2 linked regions of the Astyanax mexicanus genome follow. The protein of the gene in region 1 binds, or shares a complex with, the protein of each later gene. Links are inferred from orthologs where the notes say so. Each region holds a gene or a part of one and is shown on either strand. Other genes may lie near its edges.

The links. Proteins that work in one complex are often made in the same cells at the same time.
Region 2: the proteins of f2 (region 1) and f2r are in contact, whole or in part, in a crystal structure (PDB 3LU9), measured with the Homo sapiens proteins. The link is inferred for Astyanax mexicanus from reciprocal best matches to the Homo sapiens genes F2 and F2R. Residues at the interface, in NP_000497.1 of Homo sapiens: Phe382, Arg383, Pro386, Gln387, Glu388, Leu389, Leu390, Cys391, His406, Cys407, Tyr410, Trp413, Lys415, Leu423, Arg425, Arg431, Thr432, Arg433, Tyr434, Ile441, Met443, Glu457, Asn458, Leu459, Asn506, Thr510, Lys517, Gly518, Gln519, Arg541; in NP_001983.2 of Homo sapiens: Ala33, Thr34, Asn35, Thr37, Leu38, Asp39, Pro40, Arg41, Ser42, Phe43, Leu44, Leu45, Arg46, Asn47, Pro48, Asp50, Lys51, Tyr52, Glu53, Pro54, Phe55, Trp56.

The regions. Positions count from the first base shown.
Region 1 is NC_064430.1:14,447,084-14,457,561, forward strand, and holds the start of f2 (prothrombin), read left to right. Parts: upstream 1-5,353; 5' UTR 5,354-5,451; coding exon 5,452-5,527; intron 5,528-5,643; coding exon 5,644-5,801; intron 5,802-6,112; coding exon 6,113-6,137; intron 6,138-6,702; coding exon 6,703-6,774; intron 6,775-7,504; coding exon 7,505-7,610; intron 7,611-7,819; coding exon 7,820-7,950; intron 7,951-9,184; coding exon 9,185-9,496; intron 9,497-9,771; coding exon 9,772-9,879; intron 9,880-10,478. Other genes in the region: znf408 (zinc finger protein 408), read left to right, coding at 281-534, 1,767-3,586. UniProt on the Homo sapiens protein: Thrombin, which cleaves bonds after Arg and Lys, converts fibrinogen to fibrin and activates factors V, VII, VIII, XIII, and, in complex with thrombomodulin, protein C. Functions in blood homeostasis, inflammation and wound healing.
Region 2 is NC_064429.1:20,552,619-20,562,939, reverse strand, and holds f2r (proteinase-activated receptor 1), read right to left. Parts: upstream 4,655-10,321; 5' UTR 4,495-4,654; coding exon 4,416-4,494; intron 2,600-4,415; coding exon 1,434-2,599; 3' UTR 1,036-1,433; downstream 1-1,035. Other genes in the region: ssbp2a (single-stranded DNA-binding protein 2), read left to right, coding at 3-32; ras GTPase-activating-like protein IQGAP2, read right to left, coding at 5,558-5,671, 7,146-7,254. UniProt on the Homo sapiens protein: High affinity receptor that binds the activated thrombin, leading to calcium release from intracellular stores.

The DNA of each region.
Region 1 (10,478 bases):
TAATTAATGAGTATTTAAAGATTCTCATTGGCTTTGTGTTTTATCACTTGCTCATTTAAGCACTAAAAATTCTGTTTCACACTAAAGAGCTATCTAGCCTGACACCACATTTTGCCATGACAGTCATGACAGTCAAGGGAAATGTCATTAAACAGTTTACAGTAGTGATTTCTATGAATCCGGCCCTTTAATAAACTCTGACTTGGAGGCTTAGCTTAATTTACATACCTTTACAGTGTGCTTGTTTATGTGTCTCACGATGATCAATCTGCCTCTCCAGGTTTGCCTGTAATTCTGCGACTGAAGAGGAGAGAAATGTCCTTGTGCACAAGGTGGATGGGAAGCTGTGCCTTAGGACTTGTAAAGATTTGAGCCCAGGAACGGAACTCCTGGTGTGGCCAGAGCAGAATAATGATCTGTCTCAAACTGTGAAGCTAGAAAAACCCTGCAAAGAGAGCACACCATGTGGGCTGACTGAGGATAAAACCACATGCCCTGGCCCAATGGAACAAGACTCAAAAAGGGAATGTGAAGGTTCGTGCACAGTAGCTTTTAGAGGGACATGGCTTTTGGGTTTAATTTAACTTTGACTGTGTAAGCAAGGCAGCCATTAAGAAAATGCATTAAATTGGCCCATGAAATTGTGTGTTTAATTTAAAGACCATATTATGCCTCAGGCCTCACACACCTCTACATTTTGTTTTATACTGTGTTATATTGAAAGTATTTTTCATAGCAAATTATACAGAGTGCCACTCCTTAGTCACAGTGCCTGAGGACATTATTCACCGCATACTAGTGTGTGTTTTGTATTATTTTAATATATATATTTTTTTACCACAATTGGAGATTGCCTACCTGATGGATGCACGAAAGGATGAATTGCAATGAGAGCAGCCTCACTGAAAAATGAGTATGGCCTTGCTACATCACCAAGTAACTTGCTACATCATCCCAGCATCACACATAGGACATCAAAGATATTTTAAACAAGAAGGAAAAGCTTATAAAGGAATTATCTGTACCTACAGATATAAGGCCAATTTATACTTCTTGCAGCTACACTGCAGGCAACGCGTTAACTCAACGCAGAAGTATAAACCAGCCATTACATTATAATGGGATCAAACTAATAATAGAACTGCTAAATAAAAAATGGCCTACTTCCATCTACATTGTTCGTTTGCTTCAATTTCATTTTAAAAACTTTGCAGACATGTCCACAAGTTGCCAGCCAAAAAAAGTGGACATGTACCATAAGGCCGTGCCATAGTTGCCGTTTGACTAATTAGAATTAGTTTTGCTGTGTTGCTAAATCAGCACCAGGAAATGTACTGATTTCAGAGTTAGAAAAGAGCATGCTAGAAAGTTAGCTATGGATCTTGTAGCACAAGGTGACAGACAAATGTGGGGCCAGTCAGCAGATTTCATCATTAGGCCTTTCCAGTGGACGGTTGTTTTGCCCCAAGTATGGTAAGCTAGACACAGTAAAATAAAAAAAAGTTAAGCTCAGCCCAGTTTGTAGGAGTTCTATATGAAAAAGCCACTGGAATAGTTAACCTTCTCCATGCATAGACTTTTTGTCTATGTAGTGGAAAAGAGGCCTAGGCAAACCTTTCAGAACTGCTGTTAAGAGACGGAGAAAACATTTAAAAGAACAGTTCATAGAATTCTCCATGAATCGTAAAGAAACGGATCTTTTGTTCCCCTCCTAAGTTCAGACTGACGTTTTAACATGTATCACATATGCTTCGTGTATTTCACAGAATCAGTGGTGAAGGACCCTACTGACAACTCAGAAGAGGCTCAGAAAACAACACATCCTAACATTCAGAGGAAGAGGCCACTAATCTCAAGTGTAAAAAATAATCCTGTGCGCTCCTCTCAAACCGTGGAAACTGGTAATCTGGGACAGACTGCTTTGGATGACAAAACAGACAATGACCAGCAAGAAGCAGAGGATAAATCTAGTCCTGGGGTGCTGTGCAGCATCCGAGAATCCAATTCTCAGGAACAGCTTAAAGGAGCTGAGAGAGCCAGCCCTCGCCTGGCAGCTAAACCTCGCAAAGTCCACTCGCTAAGCAGGTGCATGCACAGGCGACAGCAAGCAAAGCTGACAAATGCGGCTTCTGCCTGTGTTGATAAAAAGATGCTGACTACAGAAACTAGCACTGGAAGTGGATCAGCTCTGGGAGAAAAAATCCTCACTGAAAATTCTAACTCTGATGAGAAGCAATCTGGTCTGGTATGGATAGAAAAGGAGGGTTCACCAGAACTCTTACGGTTCAGCCCACGAGAGCGGAACTACAAGTGTGACCTGTGTGCTAAAAGTTTCTTTCAGCTGTGTCACCTAAAGAAGCACAAGTTCACGCACTCCGAGCTGAAGCCTTATGCTTGCACAGAGTGCGACAAAACCTACAGCTCCCAGGAGAGTTACCGTGCACATTTGCTTATGCACCGTGGACAACGGCCTTTTAAGTGCCAGCAGTGTGACAGAAGCTACGGGCTCAAACGTGACCTCAAGGAGCACCAGGTGCTTCATACGGGTGAAAAACCCTTTGTTTGCGATGTTTGTGGCAAGGCTTTCGCACGCCGGCCTTCGCTGCGAATCCACAAGGAAATCCACAGAGCCAAAGAAGCGGACTACCAAGCACCAAAGATCAAATGCACTAAGTGTGGCAAAGAGCTGGCAAACCGGAGCTCCCTGAGGAATCACATGCGATTGCACACAGGCGAGCGGCCGTACGTCTGCTCCGACTGCGGCAAGAGCTTCCGCCAGCGCGGCAATCTGCAAAGCCACCTGCGCATTCACACTGGAGAAAAGCCATACAGGTGCAAGCACTGCGACCAAACCTTCTCGCAGGTGCCGGAGCTGCGTCGGCACCTCATTTCCCACACAGGTGAGGCATACCTGTGCCCAGTGTGTGGCAAGGCACTGCGCGACCCTCACACCTTGCGAGCCCATGAGCGCCTACACACTGGCGAAAGGCCTTACAAGTGCGAGCAGTGCGGAAAAGGGTACACGTTGGCCACTAAGCTGCGCAGGCATATGAAGTCCCACCTGGATGAGAAGCCACACAAGTGCGAGACATGTGGAACCAGATTTACGCTTATGCAGAGTCTACAGCGCCACCTACAGTCCCACCAGAAAATAACTAAGAAAGGACATGCAGCGCCAGCCAGGGGTAGACCTAAAAAGATGACTCCTAAAAAGAGAGGTGGACAGTCAGGTCATTGTCAAGGCAAGAAGAAAAAAGAAGAAGAGGAAGGTGTGGTTTATGTGCAAGCCCTAGCAGAGAACTGCAGAGAAGGTGCTGAAGTTTTTGAAGAAGGGCCAGAACAAATTGAGCTTAGTGAGGACATTGTAGAAATTGTTGTTTCAAATGGCAGCAACAAGTGTATCATGGTTCAGGAACTGGAAGCTAATGCTAAGTGCATTGTTTTACGGGAGGATGAAGAGAATAAGAAATGCATAATTGTACAAGAAGAGATTAATAATAATAGTACCCTGGTCATTATGCAGGACCATGATGATCCTAACTCAGTGGCAGAAACTGTTGAAATCGATTCAGCCACCCAAGACTGAACATGTTAAGCTCATTGTGACTATTAGTGTGTCATTTGATTTGAAGGTTATTTTGCAGTGGTAACATCTGCGTTAGAGACATCAGTAAATATTGACTTATCTGCCCACTGGACCTTGTCATCACTGTTTGTTCCAGATCTGAACAGGCACACTGCTGGTAACGAATATGTCAGGAACATGCTGATTATTGGTGATACTGTTATCTTATTATGAGTCAAATCATGTTTAAATTATATTTTTTAAGAAAAAATAACAATGATGAAATATTAAATTAGAGCTGGGGTGAAATATCATGATTAATATATTATGTCACAGTATTTAAAGTAGAGCTGGAGCCAAGAGATTTTGTCATATAGGTATACATTTTCTTATTGTATTGACAATATGCTTTTTTAAAGCATATCGAGGATATCATCAGTGGTTAAAGAGCATTGAGAAAAATGTGCATTACATTACAGAGAAACAACCCAGTTTGATTGGATGTAAAACTCTGTGTATTGTGAAAGTCTAGTATCATGGTATAATATTTTTTACCAAATAATCAGCGCTTGATTATTTACACCACGGGTGGTGGAATTTATACTGTTAATATTGATATCAGAATTATATCGCATTATAGAAATGAAGAAATTTAATGTGATATCAAGTAATTTAAAGACATTTTCAAAACATGCAACATTTATCACATCATTTGTCCCTATGTTTTGTCACAAAGACAAAAAGCATCAACATTGTCAGATTCTTGTATGTTAAATAACATTAAACAAATTGCAAATTCTTTCCATCTCTTCCTTGTGTGTAGTCCTTGTTTTACTGTAATGATGCTGCTGAAATCTAAATTTCCCTGAGGAAATCTTCCCAAGTGGATCCATAAAGATCTATCTATCAAGTACTGTTTCATGCATAGTAAAGTAATGTTTTTTTTTTTTGCTGGACAACATTTAAAACTAGTACAGTTGGGTCATTGTTCTTTGTCCTCTTCTTTTAAAAAGCCCAAAAAAAGTCAGACGATAAGAAATGCAATGAAATATTTTCATATTGCCCAACTCTATATTAACGTTTTATTTGAATTCCTATCTGAATTAACTGCTTATTGATGCAGCTTGAAACAGTCTAAGTACCACAGATCTTCAAGATGTGGTGGAGTCAGTAAAGAACATAGGCAGTGGATGATTTTAGAGTTGGATGGAGTTTTAGGGAGTCATGGAATTTTTGAAAACATTTCATTTGTCAAAGCTTAAATTGCTGCACCACCCACTGCACTGTCCACTGTGAATAATAATTCTTCATATGACATAATCCAGGTACACATATGACACTTTGGATTGAGAAATATTATGTCCCATCCATCTGGCACACACTATCAGGCCTCGCTCCAACACCAGTTATTCACATTGGCCATATTGCCATGAGCTCGATGGCCACTGCTCACTCTCACAAGATAACACCTCACAGCGTATACAGATGTGTGCATTCCCAAGCTGTCCACTGATATAATACTTTACATTTAATTTACATACTGCTATTCTATGATTTCATACAAATATAAGTCCATTTTGTTTAGGAAAATGACTGGTGACTGGTTTAGTATTATTATTTCATTCATATCATATTATGGGTTGATAATGAATGTTCCTAAGTGTCCTTAGATATTTCTAGAACATCAGGGCTGAATCATGAATCAGTGATCAGAGTGATATGAGCTTGCACACAATCTCTGTTTTCTGTTCTCTTTGAACTCCACTGGTTCAATATTAACTCGAGGGCAGCAGTGGAAGGTTTTTGGGGGCTTGCTAGCAGCTCTGTGGCTTTGTCTCCAGTGATGTTCCAGGTCTTTTCAGGATTCCAGTAGTCCCTGTAAAAGAATGGGAGCAGTACCAGCACCGATCCTTGTCACACTTCTTCTCAGCCAAGTGCTCCAGCTTACACTGTGCTATGATGGTGAGAAACCCATGTTAATACTTTTGGTATCAAATATATTGTATGTAAAATGGTGTGTCTATAGAGTTAATAGGTTTGTGGAGGTAGACGGTTAATCTTGTGTACGTTTTTGTCAGTTTTTATCGATAGTAAGAGGGCTTCTCAGGTTATCCGAGTAAGGAGAGCAAACACACTCTTAGAGGAGCTGAAGCAGGGAAATCTGGAGCGAGAGTGTGTGGAGGAGATCTGTAGCAATGAGGAGGCTCGAGAGGTGTTTGAGATAAGTGACAAAACGGTAAGGACTGCTGAATTCTGCTACATGATGTGACGTATGTAATCCTGTTTAAATTAAATACTTCTCAACATAACATTTGTAAGGTCACTTTCCCAGACAGGGATTTAATTAGTCTTAGACTAAGCCTTTCAAAAATATGTAGTCTACAACTTAATCCTCAAGCTTAATCCTTGTGGGAAAATTGCCTGTGTGTGGACACCATTATTGTTTACTGTCTTGTTTATTGCATTCATCGACATACCATTCCAGAAAGTGGTAGATTAATTTTGTTTTATTTAAACATTTTGTAAAATGGTTTCTCTTTCTTTTAGGTTCAGTTTTGGGAGAAATACTTAGGTAAGGCATTACACCACAAACTTCCCAGTAGGCAGCAAAGTCAGCAGTGACCACATTTTGAAATGTAAATATACATTATTGAACCAGGAGCAAAGTGCAGTGTTCCCCAGTGTTTTTTTTTCCTTCTGAGTAATTACCAAATCAAAGTCCTAAACTGGACTTTATTTAATCTAAGGGTTTCTAATGTCAGTCAAGAACAATACAAAAACGCAGTGTACTATTAGGCTTCCTGAGCATTTGTTAGTTGCAGTATTCCTTTAATGTGTGTGTATATTAGTTCCAGGCCAGTGATAATAAGCTATTGAAAAATGACACAGAAATGACAGAAATGTTATGTAAGGAACACTTTATATAAATAATGTTTATATTTCATAAAATTGAATGAAAATAAAGAAGTTTAATCTCATTACCATCTTTTTTATGGTTTTGTTAGCTTTAACTGTTTCTGGAACAATGTGATGGCAATAGTGAAAGTTCAGGAAACTCATTAAAACAGGGCAAGCATAAACATACCGTGATTATCTCAACACTGTTTAGATCTATTTTGTACTGCTTTCTTCCACAGCTTGTGATGGCAACACTTTGAAGAGGACTCCAGACAATATTTCGAAAGTAAGAACGTGTGTGAATAAAAAAGGTAAGGGCAACATTTCATAAAAAAAAATGCACCCATTGTATACAGATGGTTGTTATTCCCAGTTTGACCAGCCTGTTTTATAAGATTTAGAGATGGATTCAGCGTACAGCACATAATCTATGTTAAATTAATATATAAATAAATTAATTTCCTGTGGAGAATGAAAAGAGTATATTAGTATAAATAACTGTGTCAAAATATTAGTTCACACTTACATGTATGTAAAAAATGTAAACTCTGCATTCTGTAGTTTGTTTGTGGTGAGGACATGATTCGTCCTTGATTCAAACAACTACCAATGTTGCTGCAATTAAACTGTACAGATATACACTAGTCCAGAACACGCGAACCACGTTCCAGACTATTTACATAAACTATTTTCTAGATGGTTTTGACTTTTAGACCACAAATAGGAGGTCAAGGAAAGCTATATTTATCCATTCAACAACAGAAAAAGATCATAAACGATAATACAACAAAAATACAAGAATCAAAGGGAAATATATCTGTTAAGCTTATACTGCTGTATGAAACGTGCACACAATGGGAAGATGAGTCTGGGGAGATGCAGTCTGTGTATCAAATACATCAACATTGATTTGGAATCTGGTGTGAAGATGCTCTGAGATAAAGAAACATTGATGCTCTAAAATCTATAAAGGCAACTTCTACTACTTCAGTTAGTAGAGCCGTGTATTCATATATGTGTTGATCATTGTGTGCTGTACAGATCACTGCTATCTCAACACTGGTGAGCACTACAGTGGTGATGTTAACCTCACTATATCTGGAAAGACTTGTCAATACTGGAAAAGCAACTTCCCCCACAGAATCATGTATGTATAATTATTTCTCTAGACCTCTTGAGCTTCACAGCTGTAGTTGTCATTGATAAAACATGGAAATAGTATTCAAGGCATAAAGACTTGTATGTTTGAAAAACAGATTATATTTTCATTTCAAATTAAAGGTCAAAATGATTTGAGAAAACTGGAAGTGTGAAACAGTTTTTGATCCATTTTAATGCATTGTTTTTCCATTCCAGTGAGATTAATCAAACACAGCTGAAACTTCCTGAGAACTTCTGCAGGAATCCAGACAAGAGCCCTACTGGACCCTGGTGCTTCACCAGCGACCCCACTGTCAGGAGGGAGAAATGTGCAGTGGCAAAATGTGGTACTGACCTTAAAGCATGCTTCACTCAAAGCACTGAACACCCCAAACATAGATAATATAGCAAACTGTGAAGGGCTTCATCTGTTTCTTATATTAAGCTCAGTCTTGAGGCATTAAGTATATCAGTAGTTAGTCTTAGTCTAGAGTTTTCATTGAGAATTTTATTTAATAAATAATAAAACATTTAGTAATATTATATTTAAGTTCCTTTATTGGTTTTATAGCAGCCAGTGATGTTTTGAAACTTAATATTATGCTGCTTTCCATTTACCGTTTACTGTATTGGGATGTATAGCTAAAAATGACCTTACACCCTGGTTGACTGGGTTCCAATTAAACCTTTAGATAATTTCTATTTCAAAGACTTTGGTGTAGAAGTTAAACAGTACTGTGTGTACAATTGATAAAATGTGAGACAACTACTGTAGATACACAGTTCTGGAAAACATTAAGAGACCACTTTAGTTTCTGAATCAGTTTATCTGATTTTGCTATTTATAGGTATATGTTTGTGTAAAATGAACATTGTTGTTTTATTCTAAAAACTATAGAAAACATTTCTCCTAAATTCCAAATAAAATATTGTCAATTTGTTTGAAGAAAATAAGAAAGGACTAAAATAACAAAAAAGATGCAGAACTTTCAGATCTCAAATAATGCAAAGAAAACAAGTTCACATTTATAAAGTTTTAAGAGTTCAGAAAAGTTTTCATGCATCTTGGCATGTTCTCCTCCACACTGCTTTAGGATAACTTTATGCCACTCCTGGTGCAAAAACTTAGCTTGTGATCATCCATCTTCCTCTTGATTTAATTAGGTAAATCAAAGAAACTCATAATTTTTAAGTGGTCTCTTATTTTTTTCTTATTTTTATTAGAGCAGGAAAACTTTTGGGGACATCCAGGTATAGATGTAGCTTAATTAGATAGAATGTAGCTTAATTTCTGTCACAGCTTGGAAAGAAAACATGTTGTAGGTTTTATGTAATTTGCACATTTTTATTGTATTTTTTATTTTGTTGACTATTATTATTTAGTTTTTGGCTTTAGTTTTAGTATTTTTTTATTTAGTATTAAACATATTTACATCTCCTGTAAATACACTTAAAAACCATTGAAAAGAACATTTCTGTCAGTTGGATTTGTTTCTGTGATTTTGTGCAATAAACCATAACTTTAGTCTATAAGTTCAACCAGTAGAAGTGGTATATTTCAGCTGTTCCCCTGTTCCGCAGGAGAGACCTTGCAGCCAGTTCCAACCGTCAAAGTGGGGACTATAGAGGAGCGCTATGCTAAGACCAAATGTATTGCTGGCAATGGAGAAACTTACACTGGAGATCTGTCTGTGACTCTGGGTGGCCACACCTGCCTGGAGTGGAACTTGCCTAAGGTGAAGGCTTTGAGTGTGGGGAAGGAGTTCAAACCAGATATACAACTAGTGAAGAACCACTGCAGGAACCCCGATGGAGATCTGGAGGGACCATGGTGCTATGTGAAGAGTGCTGCTGGAACCATCACTGTCGATTACTGTAACCTAGAGCTATGTGGTGAGCAATGGTACTGATAAAAGTGCTTTTATTACTGGTGATCACAACAAGAAGGTACACCAAATTAATGCTGTCCATTTTCTCAAATTAACCTCACACCCATTTTTTTATATTGCAGTGTGATGCAGATGTATAACCCTGGCTTGTGTCTTGCTATGATTATTTAAAAAATGCATATTACACTAAATACACTGCAAATGTCTACTAAAATATTAAATTAAAATATTAACATTTTTTTACTTCTCAAACAAGATGTCTTCTCTCTTGTCTTTAAGATGCTCCCTTGGTAGGGATGGTAGAACAGGACTCTGATCGGAAGAGGACCACTACAGAGAAAAGAACTGCTTTCTTTAGCCCTCGCAGCTTCGGCCAAGGAGAAGAAGGTAAAAATTTTAGCAATAGCAGGAGGTGTATTTATTCTCAGTTCACTATTTTTTAGAAGGGCCCACCCGGTATTTAAAAGTACTGGTCACTTTTCTGTCCATGTAAGTATAACCTGATATTAAGTTCATGACATTTGTTTCTGTTCCTTAAAATTTGCATGTCAACATACTAGATGCAAGGTTAAGGCCCTTTCCCATTTTTCCCTTGGCCGTGCCACTTAGTGTGTCCTTATTCTTGTTAGGCGGTAGAGCGAGTGTTAGGGCAACATCATCCTTCAAACTGAAAACTGAAAATCACTGACAGGTGAACACATGCATTTATCTGCAATTTAAGAGATACAGAACCAATATCTCAATAAAAAGAAGCATGTCCACACATAATAGTAATATTACAGGATTTATGCGGTTTGCTTGTGACGGCTAGGAACCTTTCTATGTTTGGGGTGGTTATGACTGAGACACCATTCTCCCTATTGCAAGTCATTGTGCAATCAACAGGATTTTGTTAAAATGTAATACTCTTCTAAAATAATAAATACATCTTCGAAAATGCTGCTGAAACTAATGAATTTTACAACATTAATAGCGGTATTTATATA
Region 2 (10,321 bases), on another chromosome or scaffold:
AGTATTCTCCAAACATGACGATGAGCGTGTGAGAGACTGAGCAGACTGACACATTGACAGATCCGCTAAGATTCTCATGGGATGGGATAGCGCTGTGTTCCCCAAAGGACTGGAGCGTGGACGGGGTGCAATATTCACTCATCTCCAAACTTTCATCCGAGACCAAATCTGAACATCCCATGAACATGAACTATTCACAAACCTGGACAGTCCATGAAGAGGAACCTGAATATACTCGTATTTGTATATATCACTTCAAAAATGTTGCTCTAGACGTGAGCCTCAACAAGGACAAAGCAACCCAAGAGGTTTACCAGTGAAACTCCTGCTAGATCCCTCATGCTGTTTAGTAGTCTTGATCCATACTTCGTACTTCGTACGTCTTGGTATTGCACACTATATGTTAATCCTCATAGGTCATTTTGCTATGGTCTGCGGAAAATGGAGCAAAGGATTTGTTCTAATACAATGAAGATGGAGCTCTCGGTTTGGTTTAATGTACAGTTTTTCTCATTGCTGGAAGCATCGTAATTGGCCGACTCTCTGCTTTTGAGATTTTCTGTTTCTGACATGTGTTGTACTGACATTGACAGAATTATTGCTATAAAGCTCATTTTCAATGTTTTTAAAGGGAGTCGTTTTCTGATTGATGTAATTTTTTTATTTACATTTTAGCTTAGAAATATACAAAAGTACACGTTTATCTGTTTGTATAAAATCAGATTTCCACAGCTGGGAAAGAAAAAGTCCTTAAATGTTGCTGACATATTACATATACACTGTTTACATAATACAGAATAAACACAGTTAACATTTAAATATAGGCAAGTTCCAAGTTCTTGGCCCAGCCTGCTGGCCCTGTAGACGAGCTTCCGTTACACTTTCATTAAGAACGAGTTGAGTGTGTTTGCACAGACAATTCTAGCCAGATGCCGCCGGTCACAATCATTACAACCCACTGCTCTGCTCTGTCCACTGTGGGTGGTATAAACTTTGATAAACTCCAATAAATCACAACACTTTGCCGTGAGAATGCTGAAATTATTGGTTTTGTAAAGAATACAAAGCTTTTAACTAAAAAAGATAAAACAGTGATGTCCCAGTTTTCTGCAAGAACAAAGCTTTGCACTGGAGCTACAAGGCTTATGTAGCTAACCAGCAATAGAAGCTTATGGACAGCAGGTAGCATCCTGCTGCAGACTGCTTTAGTGCTATCCCCTTTTCACAGGTCTTCTCTTTTTGGATTGAAGAAATGGAGGATTTGAAAAAAAAAAACAGACAGAATATCCTATCTTGAATTGCCTAAAATCTGAGTCTGAGATTTGATTTGTATTATTTTTTGACATTTGCTTTTGATATAATAAGTGCACCTCAGGTCAAAGTTGACCCATATTTCTCCTGTCCATAATATGGTCCAAAATCCATCGTCCAGCTCAGGCCGCAAGCTTACTGTACTGCCCACCTGCGTTGCTTTTGAATGTGTCCAGTTTGCTGGACCTGGTGGACTGCGAGCTGTCCGTCGCCCCGGCTGCCGCCTCGCTCCTCCACCTGCTCCTTCCCGTGAAGAAGTCGAGCGCCACCTTGTGACAGCGTGACGAACCGAAATAGTACAGCAGGGGGTCGAGGCTGCAGCTTGCACTGCCTGCACACATGGCCAGCAGGTAGGCGGCGTAGGAGGAGTCGGCCAGACCTCGTGCCGCGTGCACCGAGTGCATCACAAGGATCACGTTAGCTGGAGTGAAGCACACTGCAAACACCACGAACACCGTAGCCGCCATAAGCACGGCTCGGTGGCGCTTAGCTCGCTTGGCTACGCCGCAGAGAACTCGGATGATGCGGTAGTAGCATGTGGCACTGAGGAGGAAAGGGATGAAGAAGAAGACCGAGACAAAGATGGGGAAGAAGTAGACGTAGTAGGAACGAAGCTGGCGAACATCCAACACGTCGTGGCAGGTGGTGATCTCCAACATGGCCACCCGCAGTGTCTGCTGGGACAAGAGTAAAGGGAAGACCCCTGCACTCGAGAGCAGCCAGGAGGCAGCGCACACGGCCCACGCGTTACGAGGCGTGCGCCAGATGAGCGAGTCTGTTGGGTAGACGACGGCGGCGAGGCGGTCCACGCTGATGGCGGTCACCAGGAGCACTGAGCAGTACATGTTGCAGTAGAAAGCCGCGGTGACCAGGCGGCACAGCCCCTCCCCGAACTGCCAGTCGTGGCCCCCGTAGTGGTAGGAGATGCGGAAGGGTAGCAGGAGAGCGAACAGCAAGTCGGCGCACGCCAGGTTCATCATGTAGATGGCTGCAGGCTTTTTGGGACGCACCCGACGCACAAAGGCCACGAGTGCCAGCAGGTTAAGGGGCACGCTGGTAAGGAAGACCAGGGTGTAGATGGTGGGCACGAAAACTGTAGCCAGACGACTCTGGAGAAACACTGAGGCCTCTTTAGAGATATAGTAGCGTCCTTTGGCCACTGGGAGGTGCTGCTCACGTTCCAGGCCCATACCAGACCCACTGCCTTCCTGCACATCCAGATATTCAAAGGGCTCATCAGTGACAGTCAGGAAGAAGCCTGAGAAGGTCCTCACGATGCTGTGGGTGCCTGAGAGGAGTGCAAGAAGAGACAAGAGATAACAGTTAGACACGATGTGAGGAAATGAGATATGAAGACACCATAAACAAAAGCAGTTCTGGAGGAAAAGACTGTGCAGGCTGCAATACAGAGATCTGCCCTTTTAAAATAGTGCAGTTCCTTACAGTATGAGTATAATAATGGTAATAGAGACTTTTCAGTGCATTTATGATATTGATAAAAATAATAATAATACAGCCCGCACAATATCAATATCCACATAATTATAATACAGTCTGTAAAATATCCAAAATATTATAATACAGCCCGCACAGTATTTACATTATTATAATACAGCCCACACAATATTCACATTATTATACTACAGCCCACACAGTATTAATATCCGCATTATTATAGTACAGTCCACACAATATCCACATTATTATAGTACAGCCTGTAAAATATCCACATTATTATAGTACAGCCCGCACAATATCAATATCCACATAATTATAATACAGTCTGTAAAATATCCAAAATATTATAATACAGCCCACACAATATTCACATTATTATAATACAGCCTGCACAATATCAATATCCACATTATTATAGTACAGTCCACACAATATCCACATTATTATAGTACAGCCCACACAAATAATTTGGAATCAGTAACGTTAATCAAGCGGTACCTCGGCAGAAAACGCATGACGTGAACTCACGCGACTAGAGAGAAACTGTAGTCCAAACAACAATAAACGTGCGCGAGAGACTAATAATAGCGATTAGTGAATCCCCTCAGCTGTACATCACTTCCCTACACTCATATAGAGATAACAGGAGGAAGAGAAGAATCAGAGCTTTGTTCTGAGGCTGAGAAACAGATACAGATCCACAGAGGCTGTAGAGACTCAAAACTACAAAACACCGCTCGCAGAGGTGATGGGTTTTAGAAAACTCCGCCTATTATCAGCAGGAGACGCTTGGCGTCAGCAGCAGCCCAACGCAACAACAACTGGCCAGCGTCCAGCTGAGCGGCGGCACAGCGGAATACAGCGCGGTGTACCGCGTTCAGTGTGTAAGAACCTTTACAATCCAATTTATCATGCATTCTTTATTCCAGCACCCTACTTTTATTTTATCTCCCCTCAAACATACAAGTATATACTATTATTTTAATTGACACCACTAATATACAGTAATTGCATTTTACATTTTTTACATTCACTCTTTTATTTGCATTTACATATCAACTATAAAAATATAATATATTAAAAAAAAAAAAATATATATATATATATATATATTAGTGATGTCAATCGATTAAAAATGTATATATATATATATATATATATATATATATATATATATATATATATATATATATATATCCTTTTTAAAATAGTACAGCCCATACATTAACTTCATTAACAATACAGGCCTTAAAGTGTTCTTTCAATTCAGTACCCTTATTATGTTACAGCCCATACAATATTTTCTTTTGACAGACCCACTTTGTTCTTTTTTTTATTAGTTCAGGCCTTACAATATCCTTATTGTTTTAGCACATAATTTCTAGCACAGTATTTATTTTTAAACAGTACAGTGCATTACATACATTAACTTCACTAACAGTACATGTTAGTGACCTTACAGTACAGCCTTTTTATACCAGTACCTATTTTATAGCATTGTTATAATATGTTCCTGTTATCCACATCTAAGTGCAATTCCATGCTTTAGAATCATTCAAAACTTTTGTTTTGTTTCCTCCCTCCAGATGTTTCATATTTAAACTGCAATAATAAATACAGCTCTACAGTAGGATTTGTTAACTCACCGTTGTCCGGCATCATTGCTGCTGTAGTTCCCAAAGCCAGCAGGACCACTGCAATAAAGCTACGCACAATCACAGCCATGTTAAACGCTCAGCACTCTGTAAACTAAAGTAAACTAAGCTCAGCTCAGAAACTGCAGAAGAAGCAGCTGCTCCTGAAGATTCAGAGTCAGACAGCACACGCAGTCCCACACACTCATTCTTCCCTCACTGCTGGAGTGACTGAGCGGGAACATCCCCTCCCCTCGGCTTTTGGTTACATGTGAACGCCCACATGTTGAACTCAGAACTGAAAACAGGCATTAAACACCCCCATTCTCAAAAATAATAGAAAGTTAACACATGTATTTTTTTATGTTATTTATTTAATTATTTCAGTTCAGCTGTTACATCACCCGTACATTCTTTTAAAAGCTCTACCCAATGCTCCTTATTATTAGATCATTTAAAATATGCACACAGCTTAATCACGTATGAATGGAAGGCACTAGTCGAAAAACAGATTTTTCTGTGGCTTTAATATATTTTTTGGCTTTCCCCATAAATTGTTCAGAAGCAGAGGCAGTAGTGCTTGAATAGTGAAATTCATTCATTTTAAGTCTTAATTGTTCCCTGTTTTTTCTTTCTTTTTGTACAGTGACATCATAACAGTGGTCCACATACAGTACTAACTATATATAAAATATATAATTCAATTATAATACCATTTAAAAATATAATTCATGTACAATTACCGCGTGGAAAACAAACATAAACGAGTTATAAGCCTTCATTGGTAAAGTTGTGCTAAAAGGTTTTTGGTACAATTTAATTGCGATTCTAATCAACACCAATCAGCAGTCAGAGTCAATCAGAGTGCTTAAGCTTCTCTATATGTACAGCTTTAATATGTGGACTCTTAATATGCAGCAAATATCTTATAATTAAATACTCAAAATCTCCATTAACAACAACTGAAATCCCAGAATTCCCAGTTCCGCAGGCTTTTTTTTAAATATAAAACCAGCTTAACCTGAAGGCCTGAAGGCACACACTATTCTCTCACTGTGCATTATATATCAAAGACTTAGTATTAGCATTAGTTCACGTTCCCAAGTGTACAGGCGCTCATCTCAGTAAATGCGTACGGAATTCTGAAACGCAATTCACTTTCCGTAAAACTTCTTGTTCAGCAGGAATATGAGGAGGTTGACATTGACTTTGGCCTTGTCGAACATTTTCATGACAGCGACTCCCTCATACTGAAGCTGTAGAAGATCCTGGAGGAGAAAAAAATAAACGTCAGTTTTCAGCTAAATAAGTAAAAAGATTAAATGTTTCCTCCAAGGTTTAAGCAGCGACAGCAGCAATGTGTGTGTATCAGTGTACTGCTATTTACAGAGCAGGCAGGGAGTGAGGGAGAGAGCCAGCAGGGAGAGCTGAGAAACATCAGGTTTAAGTTTGTTTTTACACTCTTACACTAACCACATGCATTAGGTCAATAAAGCCTTCAGCTTCAATTCTCTCACTTGGTATCAGCTTACTCAGTGTCCTATCTCTTCACAAACTGTCTCTTCTTCAGCTGAAAAGTACAAGCTGTATAGGACTAGGATAATAACATTAGCATTGCATGAATCTGGTTGACTGCATTTCTCTGTATAAATTTCATTCATATATGTGACTTGAGTAGCACTGCTAAAGATTTTTGAATTTTGATTAGAATAGCACCGCTAAGGTAAATGTATGACTAAGGTTGCAATGACAGCAAGCTAAATATGTGACTAGAATAGCAGTGCATCTTTAAAAATTAGAATATCATAGAAAAGTTTATTTATTTCAGATTCAAAATGTAAAACTCAAATATAGATGTATTACGCACAGAGTGATCTATTTTAAGCTTTATTTGTTTTATTGTTGATGCTTATGACTTGCAGCCAATAAATACCCAACAATCAGTCTCTCTAGAATATTATATAAGCCATCACTGATTGGTGGAAACTTCACACAAGACCTCGAGCAGTTTGGACTGTGTGTCTCTCCACTCTTCCTCAAGACTCTGATCTCTTGATTTCCAAAGGAAATGTAAAATTTACTGATGATCAGTGATGGTTTGGAGAGACATGTCATCTGCTGGTGTTGGTCCACTGTGTTTTATTATCAAGTCTAAAGTCAGTGCAGTGTTTTCCCAGAAAATCTTACAGCACTTCATGCTTCCCTCTGCTAACAACTTTTATGGAGATGTGGATTTCATTTTCCAGCTGGACCAATTGGTCTTATGTAATATTGTATTTTTCTGAGATATTGATTTTGGGTTTTCATTAAGTATAAGCCATAATCATCAACAATAAAATAATTAAGTAAATATTGATCACTCTTTGTGTAATATATCTATATGAGTTTTGAACGGAAGTCACATTTTGAATTGAATTACCTAAAAAAAGTAACTTTTCAATGCACTAGTATGTGATTTGTTGGGTTGTTTGGGTTAAATATTTTCATTGGACAGTTATTATTTTTAAATGATAGTTTTGTAATTGCTCTTTCTTAGGAAAACAACACAAAATACATTAAGAATTAGTTTATTCAATAATAAAATAAATGGTGCATGACTAACGTAGTTAGTTACATACAGGATTTTATGGAACACAAGAAGTGGATTTAAAAGTATGATGCTATAAGTTTGAAATGATTCCACTGAATCTGTTTTTATGGGAAATGTTCAGATGAAAAAATTATCTGTTCGGTGTGATTTACCTGGAAATGCAGTTGGACTTTTTCCATCTCCACTCCCAAAAACTTGGCCTTTATTTCAAAATCCCCAACTTCTTCACAGGGTATGATGTCAAACATGACATTTTTGAGCCTGAAATCAAGATAAAGAAAAGTTAGGGCACAATCTGACATGAAGTCGGAAATACAGAAAAAAGAATATCCAGGAATTGTCTTGGTTAAAACAATATTGAAGAGAATGTCGACTAGAGAGAAAAACTAGACTAGACTTCAGCTGCCTAACTTCTGTTGATATGTTTTTGTCAGCTCTTAACAAAAATAAACAGAATAACTGATAAAATAGTGATAAATATACCACTGCAGGGCCTTTAGCTTGTTAACTGAGAGAGAGCAGGCCATCCATCGTACATGCTAAGCACAGATAATGCAGGCGCAATGCTTTAGATCCCTTCCCTCCATTTCCACTGTATTACGTCAAGTCTTCTTATCAGTGATACACATGCAAAGAGCGGCTCTGCACTTGGAAAGCTCCCTTTGGCCTGGAGTAGAAAGACCAAAATAGGATATATAACTGCTCATAATGAGCCACCTTCCCTCCGGTCTCACCCCTGAACGGCGCTGAGCCAGCACTCCACTCACATCAAAGTGATTAGCTGCTGCTCCCACCATTCTGTGATCAGTCTCTGATGTTCCCTTCATATCGTTCAGTTTGGCACTGAAGTGTCAAGTAATGAAGTACAAATGCTTTTTTACCCTACTTAAGTAGAAATGTTGGTCAATATCAATACTTTACTGGAATAATTCAAACAAATATATGTTACTCTTTCTACTCTTTCTACTCCTATTTCATTTCAGCTTGTTTTCATTCCGGCTTCTTAGTGTTCAAAATTACCCCATCCAGATAAATCTCTCTATCCAGATAGACTGAATCTGATTGTGGTTGGATATTGAGAAGCATATATCATTCTGACACCCTATTGGTTTATAAGAGTCCACTTTAAAATGATGAGTTTCTTTGATTTTACCAAATTGAAAACCTCTGGAATCTAATCAAGAGGAAGATGGATGATCACAAACCATCAAATTAAGCTGAACTGCTTGAATCTTTGTACCAGGAGTGGCATAAAGTTATCCAAAAGCAGTGTGTAAGACTGGTGGAGGAGATATATTTTTTAGGGGATTTTGGGAGAAATGTCTGTAGTTTATAGAATAAAACAACAATATTCATTTTACTCAAACATATACCTATAAATAGCAAAAAAAAGAAAAGAAAAGATGATTCAGAAACTGAAATGGTCTTTTCATTTTTTTCAGAGCTGTATGTAGTCGAGTATGAAGGTGATCCGTCACTCAAGAGTCTCATTTTATATATTTGCTTTGTACTGAAATACAATTCAGTACAATACAAATACAGTACAATTTTCAATGGTGGTATATGCAGCTGAAACTGGGAGCCTAGTGCATCCCAAATTTTTCAACATTAACATTTTAATACAATATTGCAGTCATTATGCCTTTTAGAAAAATGTATTTTTTGTCTTAATGACATTTTTCCCCTTACATTACTTTTACTTTTATACTATAAGCAGTACTTTTACACTTTTACTTAAGAGTAAAAAGCTTATGTTGAGCTATTTTAAACTCTACTATTTATACTTCTACCGACAGAGTAATAATTCTAAATACTTAATACTTTTGGCACAGAGTTGATGAAACTGATCTGAGTGAGCCAGATCATGTTGTTATTATTGAGTGTTATAAACACAGTAGCTGGCCTACATCAAACATGAGTGGGAATTCTGGGAGTGGGAGTCTTTCTGGAATGTTATTTCACACTGGACTAAATCATAGATGGAGGCGCTTGCATTAATATGAGCTCAGTTTACCTCATTAAAAACTTTGGGCACAATTTTTGGTGAACTAAGCATGCTTTTTTTTCATAAAATATGTGAATCTTAAACATAAAGGAATCTTCATTTCCTCAAAAAAAAACACCATACAGTGGCTTTCAGAAATATTCATACCCCTTGAACTTTTTCACATTTGGTCATCTTACAACCACAAACATATATACAAACATAGAGATTTTAAATGATAGGCCAAAACAAAATAGCACATAAGTAAGAAGTGGAATGTTTTCTCATTTTTAATCAAACATCTAAATATCTAAGTGTGATATGCAAAAGTATTCAGCCCCCTATATCAATGCTTAGTAGAGCCACCTTTCACTGCAATTACAGCTGCAAGTCTTTTGATGTTTGTCTCTACCAGATTTGGGCATCTAGAGACTGAGATTTTTGCCCCATTCTTTTTTCCAAAAAAGCTGTGAACAGCAATCTTCAGAACTTTCATGTCTTGCCACAGGCGCTTAATGGAATTTAGGTCAGGATGTTGACTGGGACATTTAAATACATAAATGTTCTTAGAGCTTAACCATTTCACTGTAGCTTTGGCTGTAAGTTTAGGGTCATTGTCTTGCTGGAAGGTGACTCTCCTTTCCAATCTCTTGTCATCAAATGCAAGTAAATCATTATAGCAATGCTGCACAATGCAGTAGAAAGCCTTTTTCCATGGATGTAGAGAGAAGTTACTGCAACAAAAGCAGGATATACTATTTGTAATACCCTAGTTTTTAGAAGAAAAAATTGTATGAGCTGATTTTCCAATACTGTTGTCCATTTGTACAGGGGTTGGACAATGAAACTGAAACACCTGGTTTTAGGCCACAATAATTTATTGTCCCGATGGACAGTTCTGGTGGAAACAGGAGAGTTGAGGTGCACATTAAACTCTGCCGTGATTTGAGTAGCCGTGGTTTTATGTTTTTTGGATACAATCCGGGTTAGCACCCGAACATCCCTTTCAGACAGCTTCCTCTTACAGCGTCCACAGTTAATCCTGTTGGATGTGGTTGGTCCTTCTTGGTGGTATGCTGACATTACCCTGGATACCGTGGCTCTTGATGCATCACAAAGACTTGCTGTCTTGGTCACAGATACGCCAGCAAGATGTGCACCAACAATTTGTCCTCTTTTGAACTCTGGTATGTCACCCATAATGTTGTGTGCATTGCAATATTTTGAACAGAACTGTGCTCTTACCCTGCTAATTGAACCTTCACACTCTGCTCTTACTGGTGCAATGTGCAATTCATGACCATTGGCTACCAGGCTGGTCCAATTTAGCCATGAAACTTCCCA